Linked DNA regions of Cricetulus griseus. The protein of the gene in region 2 purifies or fractionates together with the protein of the main gene of each other region. This does not show direct contact. Links are inferred from orthologs where the notes say so. Each region holds a gene or a part of one and is shown on either strand. Other genes may lie near its edges.

Region 1 (4,245 bases), about 230 Mb from region 2:
TACTATTTCTTTTAGCTTCCAAGTCATGTAGAAACAAATATTAGCAATACAGTATAGACTTCAAGGAGGCATTATTATTTCTACAGCTTTCTTTTAAAAATTCTTGAGATAAGATTTCATTCTATAGCCCAGACCAGCACAGACATCACTATGTAGAGCTGTCAGCAAACAATCCTCCCGCCCCAGCCTTCCTTCCAAGCATTAGGATGACAGGCATGAGCGACCATGCCAGACTAAAATTCTCTTTTTATGTTCTGATACTAACTTTGCATATCAGTATCCGGGTCGCTCATTCATTTCAGGAAAAGGCAACCACAATACAATTTCCACTGTCAAAAATAACACATTCCAAAAAATACTGGAAATACCAAAACCCATCATGATCTACCTAGTCCCTCTAGAAAGGACAAAAATATAGTTTCTATAAACTCTAACAGAGAAAACAAGTCAGGTATTCAATTTTCCTAGAAAGAGGCTATGAAGCATAGATTTTGGGAGGAAAAAGTTTGCTCATGACACCTAAATTAATACATTTGAGTAGCTATCGTAGAGGGGGAAACAGTAAGCTATAGATACCTGAGAGAAAGGCCTAGTGGTGTATAGGCCTCTAATTCTAGCAACTCTGGAGGCGGAGACAGTAGGACAGAAAGTTGAGGGCCTGTCTGGTGACTTCATGAAACAGTTTTGTTTTGTTTTTTAAAGGGTGGTGGTGGTGGTGGTGGTGGTACTGGAATTATAGCTCTGTTGTAGTGTTTTGCTAGCATGTACAAGGCTCTCAGTTCAATTCCAGATCCCATTTAGTATTAAAGTCTGCTCTTGGAGCAATTTAAACAAGTTGGGAGAAATGGGGTACACTGCATTTTTATGTGACAGGAATTGCATGAAACAGTGAGAACAGAGCTTCTATTCTTCATTTATCTCAGTTATTGAGCATCTACTATGAGTCAGATGCTGGGGTAGAAAAGCACCTGGAAAATGTCCCAAATTCAGCTTATACAAGGGGAGGGGAACACATATTTCAAGGATGAGACACACAACTGCCTGAACAAAGATACTAAACTATTATAGGCAGGGTATTGCTTATATAAGTGTGGAAGGTTTGTGGGGGACACCTCCAGGAATTCAGGAAGGGAATGTCAGAACTTTAGATAGTGAGCTGAGTCCTTGAAGAGGATTAGATATTCACCTGGGCAACCTTGGGGCAAAGGCTCCTAGAAGCAAGATCACCTGGAGTGAAGACGAAATTGTCAGAATTGTCAACAGCCTGGTTTGGTAAGCTTGAAATGTAGAGGCTACAATGAAGACTGGACTAATGTGCATGGAAGACCCCTGAAGAGGGTCAGAAAATCAGCGTATGTGATCACATGATGGGAAACTGGTTTACACAGAATTGAGAAAGGAAAACACAAAACTAGATAATGATGTCACCACATAAAAAACAAAGGAGACTGCCAAGTTAGAAAACCCACCTCTCTCCAGGAAAATACTGAAGAATTGCATTCAAGCCCACCTGGGAGTTTACTCAGTTATCACTGAGAAAGACTCATTCAAGAGTCTTGATAAAGAGAAGGCCTTAAGTAACAGATGTCTGAAAGGTCTCTAAAGTTCAAGATAATCAAGGTTTTATTAAATCAACTTACTTAAAAGGTGTGTCACAGGGGTGGAGCAAAAACAGGAGGAGCTTAAAATTTACCACGTATGTATATATAAACAAGTAACTCTTTATGAAGCTGAGGCTAAAATTCCCACTTGGAATTCTACCTCCCCAAGTAGATGGTAAAAAGACATTCTCCCGAACCAATTAACAAAGATAGGGTGGGAGTAGGGAGGACTATAAACGAAAACACAATTATAAAGGGGGGGGGGTGACAACCTACCCACAACCCATAATCCTGTTGGCAGTCTGTTGAGGAAATCACACAACTCAAGACATAAAGGCAGGAAAACCATGTCATCCTTAACTCTACAAGCTAACTACCAGACACTAGCCAAGGGGATATGATCACATAGTTTGATTCCTGAACTCAAGGACAGAACACCGTCCCCAAACGGTGCCCAAGGGGAAGGCAAGAAGGATCCTTCTCTAGTCGGGGACTGGGCAGCAGACACCCTCAAGACCAGCCCCGAAGGGGTCAACGCCCCCCGAGGCCAGGCCGTGGAGGCCAAGGGCAGAGGGCCCGAGCCACCTCTCCTCTCACGCCAACACACACCCTCCCGTACCTGATATGGCGGCGGCGGCTCCTGATCTGGCTCCGTCCCCTCGCCAAAGCTAGCCCGGTCGGACTGAGACTCGTGAAGCAGGGAGATGTCATCCGAGGTCGGGGATTTGAGGCAGTTCCCCATCTTCCGGGGCTGAGGTGTGTGCGTGAGATCTGGGGGAGGAAGAAAGCTGTGACCCGGTCTCCCGCACACTCAGCGGTGAGCTCGCCCGGCGCCGCGGGGTCCAAGGCGGCAGGCCCGGGGCTCAGGAGGCGGCTCCCCCGCGCCCCGGCGCCGCCGAGGGGCCACTCATGCCAGCCCCCGGGGCAGGGGGCGCGAGGCTAGGCCGCGGGCTGCGCCGGGGTCGCGCCGGGAGCCTGAGGGGGGCGGGGGCGGGGAGACGGAGCGCTTCCCCCACCCCGCCCCCCGCGAGGCGGCGGCGGCCACGGGGCTGCTGGGCCTAATCCAGGTCAGGAGGGGGGGGCGCGGCCGTCCCGGCTGCCTCAGCTGCTGCCTCAGCGGCTGTTGCCCCTGCCGACGCTGGAGCCGCGGCCTGGGGCCTCATCCTACTCCGCCTTAGCGCGGCGGCGGCAGCCAGAACGAGGCCAGCCGGGCCTACGTCACGCCGCCGTGCGTGCTCTGGCCCCGCCTCGGGCTCCTTGCTCCCCGCCCCCTGCGTGGTGCTGAGTTTAAGGTGCTGACTGTGTGTCCGTCAGTCTCGGGCGCCCCTCTGTATCCCGGCTGCACCCTGCCGGCTCGCGGCGTGAGGCTGGTCCCTTACCTGCGCAGCGTCCTCAAAGACTGTTCACTCTGTCTGCGAGGTGATGTTTATATGCCCGCATGTGAATGGATTAGGCAGATAGCTGAGGTGTTTAAACAGCTTCTTCTTTATCCTTTCAGAATAAAGTCCACACTTAATGCCACGCCCTGTGTTTCCTATCTCTGTTCTACCCTCCCGGCATCACACAGCTAAGAGATTATCAGATTGTTTCATTTCTTTCCAGTCCCACCACCCCTCAATCTAACGTTTGCAGTCGATTGATTCTCAGTCTCCCTGCATTCATCATTGCCCCCCCCAACCCTTTGAATGGTTGAGGATTTTTGTTTTTTAATGCCATATAGTTGCACTTAAAATTTCTAGTAGCTTCTCAGTACTTCCCACAGAATAATCTTAAGAAATCTGGATCTCCACGGTACACACCTTTAATCCCAACACTCGGGATGCAGAGACAGGCAGATCTCTTGAGTTCAAGGCCATCCTAGTTTACAGAGTGAGCTCTAGAACAGCCAGAGCTACACAGACAAACCATGTCTTGAAAAAAAAAAAAAAGACACCCAACAGCAGGGCGTTGGTGGGGCACGCCTTTAATCCCAGCACTAGGGAGGCAGAGGCAGGTGGATCTATGTGAATTCAAGGCCAGACTAGTCTCCAGAGCGAGTGCCAGGATAAGCTCCAAAGCTACACAGAAACACCCAGTCTCCAAACAAACAAACAAACAAACGCCTATTTTATTAGCAGTACTGTCCCCGTTTCATAAATTCTCAACTCCAACATGGCCAAAGTGCTTTTAGTTATCTCAAAGACTGTTCCCTAAGGCTGGGATTTCCACAGACAGACCCTACTTCTGACCTTCTACCCCTCATTGGGCTAATCATTATTCCCAAAAGTCCTTCCTGGATTCATTTTTGTTTGGCTAGGGAAGCTTTTTCTGACCCTCCAGTCTGGGTTAGTCTCCTCCTCGGAGTTTCCAGTCCCTGTGCCTTTCTGTGAGGTGGATCAAGCTGAATGATCTGTCCCTTCCCTGTGTAGGCCTGGCATGCTGCCTAAGGTAGACTCTTTTCCTTGGTTGAATGAACAAATAAATGGTCAAAGAGCATATGCAAAGAAAAGAAAGGAAAAGAAGACAGATGAGGCTGTTCTCCACAGTCATTCCTTCAACAAGAAGGCAAGAGGTTGACTTTGATCGGTTTTTATTCACCATTTACTGACTTATTATTATTCTTATTGTCAGGCCTGATGCCAGCACAACTGATTTATAAAACCTG
Region 2 (4,050 bases):
GAATTCCCCAGTGCGAAGATATTTGACTAGCAATTGAGCAACAGTTGTTGTACGTTTTGTTCTGGTGTGTAGACATTTAAACTGCGAACTGCACCCTGGACTTTCCAAGTGGGTGTGGTCAGGCTGAGCTGGAACCCGGCTACTCACTATACAAGTGAAATTGCCACAGCCAATAGACGCTGGAATTTTCATGAAGTTTCAATTTTATGCCACCTACTCCCTTCCTCATTCACCACAGTCTCATATCCTCAAATGCAGACTCCTGAATCACCCCCTCCCCAAATAGACCGCCTGTGAAGGAACCTTCCAAAGGGGCCAGGTTTGTAAAAGGAAAGAAAAGATGCTAAGAAAGCCACTTGCCACCACCACCCCACCCCCACCCCCGCCCAAAGGTCTTTTCTTTCTTTTGCATAACTTTAAGAACTTTTCTTCAAAGCAGAAAATTTAGGATTCTGGGACCCCAAATCCACATTTTCCCAACATGTTACCAAAATGCCTTTGCTTTTGTAGTTTTAGCAGTAGCATGAACCCTTTTTGATTTAAATGGCAAAGGAAATGTTTAGCATTTATATTGCTTTTTTTCTCCTCCAGGAAATCAGATATTTCCTCTGTTAAGGAAATACTATATAATGTCTGCTAGTATTCTGAATGGTAAGCAAGATAAGGCTTTTCTTTCTCTATCCCATTTCTAATTCTCTCAACTCCATCTCTCTTTCGGTAACAGAATGGGACATGGTGAAAACCACAAACTGTCAGGTATATAAGCCCCTTGATGACAAGTTAACATAATTATCTACTTCGAGGCATCACTTGACTTAATGCCAAGAACAATGTAGATAATCACTGTCTCCAGTTTTCTTTTGACTCTATTTCTAAGAGTCTAAGCTTCATAAATATAGGGAAGATGTAGAGGTGATATACAAGAGTCCCCGGAATCAAAACAAACAAAAGCCCACATCAACCCATCACCAAGTTACTCAAGTCAAGAACAGCCGAAGTTAATGTACCAATTAAGTTATTAAGTTAACGTTCCTAGCACCATCATTGCCAACAGGGATTTTCTCCTCTTGGATGTATTATTTTGACCCACAGAATGCAGTTACTGATACAAGAAAATGAGATTGTACTCTTACCAACACTGTAAGTATTTAATTGATCTCACACAATCTCCATTCTTATAATAAATGTCTATGCCCTAAAGGCAGAATTTCTGTAACTGCATGAAACAATATCATTGGCTGTTTCTGCACCATGTACATAATCTTTCTCAAAGGATGTGATTTGGAAAAAAAATACAAGACAGTAAAACTTGACATAGAAAAGAGTTATCAGAGGTAAAGGACTTCAGTTGATTGAATGCCAAGAGCAGTGTGTAGAGAAGTTCTGTCTCTCATTATCTTAGGCAACAGAACCTAGGTGAGAGAAGTAGAAACAAAAGCATCCCCTGTCCTTAACACCCACTTGTTTGCAAGTCTAGAAAATGCCATCAACTCAGGAAGAGCAAGAGCATCATAAGCGTTTTTTCTAATGACAGCGGCAAACAACTGTGACACTGGTTCTCAGTGTTCTACTTTCCTTTTGAACTTAAAACCTTTTAAATCCTTTCCATTCTGGCCAGTGAAGGTTATAGATGATTTGGCCAATGTAAGCATTAGGAAGATTAATCTCCCAACTGGGGCAATGGGGTTTAGAAATGCATTCCACAAGTCTTCATGTCCTCTATACTGTAACTCTCTCTCTCTCTCTCTCTCTCTCTCTCTCTCTCTCTCTCTCTTTCTCTCTCTCTCTCTCTCTTTCTCTCTCTCCCTCTCTCTCTCTCTCTCTCCCTCTCTCTCTCAGAAAACACCTTAAAAACACCTTAAATAGAAATATTCACCAACTGGATATAAAGATGCACACTTGCCATTCCAGCACTCGGAAGTTGGAAGCAGAAAGATCACAAGTCCAAAACCAGCCTGAGTTATACAATGAAATCCTGTCCCAGCAGCAGACTCAAATACATTCATGACCATCACCTTTCCCTTATGGAGGGTCTTTCTATAGGTGTCTGCTTAATGGCATTAAAACTTCATGGAGAAGCATTAGCAGAAACACCTCCCCCCCCCCCGCCCCCAGGTCAGTAGAAGGGTGCTGGGAGAAAAGAACAAGCCTTACCATTGGTTTTCAGAGCCACGAGCTTCCGGACTTCTCGACACCAATTGAGCTTCTTCTGGTTTTCCAAGGAAGCCTGGACGCTTCTGTCAATGAGTGCCTTGTGGATGGTCTCCCGAAACTGTGGGCAAAACTGACACATTCTGAACATCTCCAGTGTGTATCGGTGCATGGTTTTAAAATGATGAATGATCCCATTGGTAGGTTTGAAAATATCTTCTGGAGTTCTCTCTCTTATCTTCACAGCTTTCCTCATATTGCTCAAGTACAAAGCCTGAGGAAGGAGTTGTTCAGCCATGGTTCTCCTCAACAAGGCCTGAAGAGGAAGGGGAAAAGCCCGTTCCGTTAGCCTGCCTTGAACATTGTTCCCATGTACCTGTCGGCAAGAAACCCCAGTGTTTGATCTTGTCATTATTCTAATCTGTAGGTAAAAGATCTTAGTCACCTCTACTCCTAGGATACTAGCTGGCCCTGCAGATTAACTCACACTGGACTGTTTTAAGTTACATCACTTTTAAAGATTAGTCTAAACAAGAGAAGGGAGGCGGAGCGTGGGTAATGAGGAGGAGGGGAATAACCCATGCTTTCAGTAGTTTGTCAGGGAGCCAAGTCTGTCTGTCAGTGACAGGTCCTGCTCCACAAAGCCAACCTTAGATCCATTGGATGTCACCCAGGACCTCTGAATGTCAGTACAGTGCTCACCAGAGTCCTAAGTCCACCACCTAAGACCACCACCATTCTGTCCTTGCTCTTGAGCAGAACCTAGATCCAGGTCACTCAAACATCCCCTACTTGATGCTACAAAGGCAGCAAATATTTGATGGAAATCCCATGTGGCATTTAGCTGCTGCCTGGTATTTCCTCTATGGTACTGGCCCCCAAAGAAAAGTAATACATACTTGGTTCAGGAGTTTATGATATTTATAAAGAGTCAACACCAGATTGTTTTATAACTAACAACAAAATAAAGCCTTTTTTGGCAAGATGCTTTGCAATCTTAAGAGCAAATGTCAGCTCTACTTCAGAGCCCTGCCACTGAACTTCATAACATGAGACAAAAAAGCAGAGTAATAATGAGGTACACCACACCTCCCAGAAAAAACAAGACACCAGATTGCCCCGTGATTTCAACTCAACTGACAACAAACTCTTATTGCTGACATGCAGGTACCAATGCCTAAGACACCGCCCCTTCCTCATCCTTCACCTAGAAGACCAAGCACAAGCAACGATGGAGAAAATGAAATATAGAAGCAAATAGGAAAAGCATCTTGGCCAGGCTGCCACTCAGGACAATGATGAGTAGCCACATGACTACTCAAGCCAGTTGTGCAAGGCTGTGTACTGATGCACAGGGACATCCTTCCAGAGTGGAGCAATGCTGAGCCAGTTCTGCTTCACTGTCCCCATGGACCCTTAATAGGGTACTTGGCCACACAACCTGATTTCCTAGACGACAACAATGGCATAGAGCACCTAAAGAGTTTCATGGTGAAGCTTAATTCCATCAGGCATCATGCTATCTGCCAAGGCAAACCCACCAGGTAAAAAACGGTGTGGTGACTATGCAAGAAGAAGAAAGCTAGAGATTAGAGAAGCCACTCCCGTGTGGGTCCAGATTCTCTTATGCCTGATAAAATGGTCTAAATTTTTGTGCCTAGCTTGAAAGAGAGGGTTGTTACTAGGGATTTGCATTAGAATTCTTAATCTAAATGCTAGCTAAGGCCTAGAACTCATTCTCTTGTGTGATGCCAGTTATTTCTTGCAACTGGAATTAGGCAAAAACACTGTAGGGATGAGATAAAACTATAAATATCACATTTACATCTCCTTGGTGATGTAGCAAGGATCTCTTTCATGTTGTCATTACTCCATCCATCCATCCATCCATCCATCCAT

What was found.
Region 1: the proteins of Tnfaip3 (region 2) and Rnf11 purify together in Homo sapiens (affinity purification with western blotting; 3 studies listed by BioGRID and IntAct, with this or other methods). This does not show direct contact. The link is inferred for Cricetulus griseus from reciprocal best matches to the Homo sapiens genes TNFAIP3 and RNF11.

Annotation. Positions count from the first base shown.
Region 1 is NC_048595.1:40,350,283-40,354,527, reverse strand, and holds the start of Rnf11 (RING finger protein 11), read right to left. Parts: upstream 2,801-4,245; 5' UTR 2,344-2,800; coding exon 2,221-2,343; intron 1-2,220. UniProt on the Homo sapiens protein: Essential component of a ubiquitin-editing protein complex, comprising also TNFAIP3, ITCH and TAX1BP1, that ensures the transient nature of inflammatory signaling pathways. Promotes the association of TNFAIP3 to RIPK1 after TNF stimulation.
Region 2 is NC_048595.1:270,723,894-270,727,943, reverse strand, and holds the start of Tnfaip3 (tumor necrosis factor alpha-induced protein 3), read right to left. Parts: upstream 2,801-4,050; 5' UTR 2,564-2,800; coding exon 2,155-2,563; intron 1-2,154. UniProt on the Homo sapiens protein: Ubiquitin-editing enzyme that contains both ubiquitin ligase and deubiquitinase activities.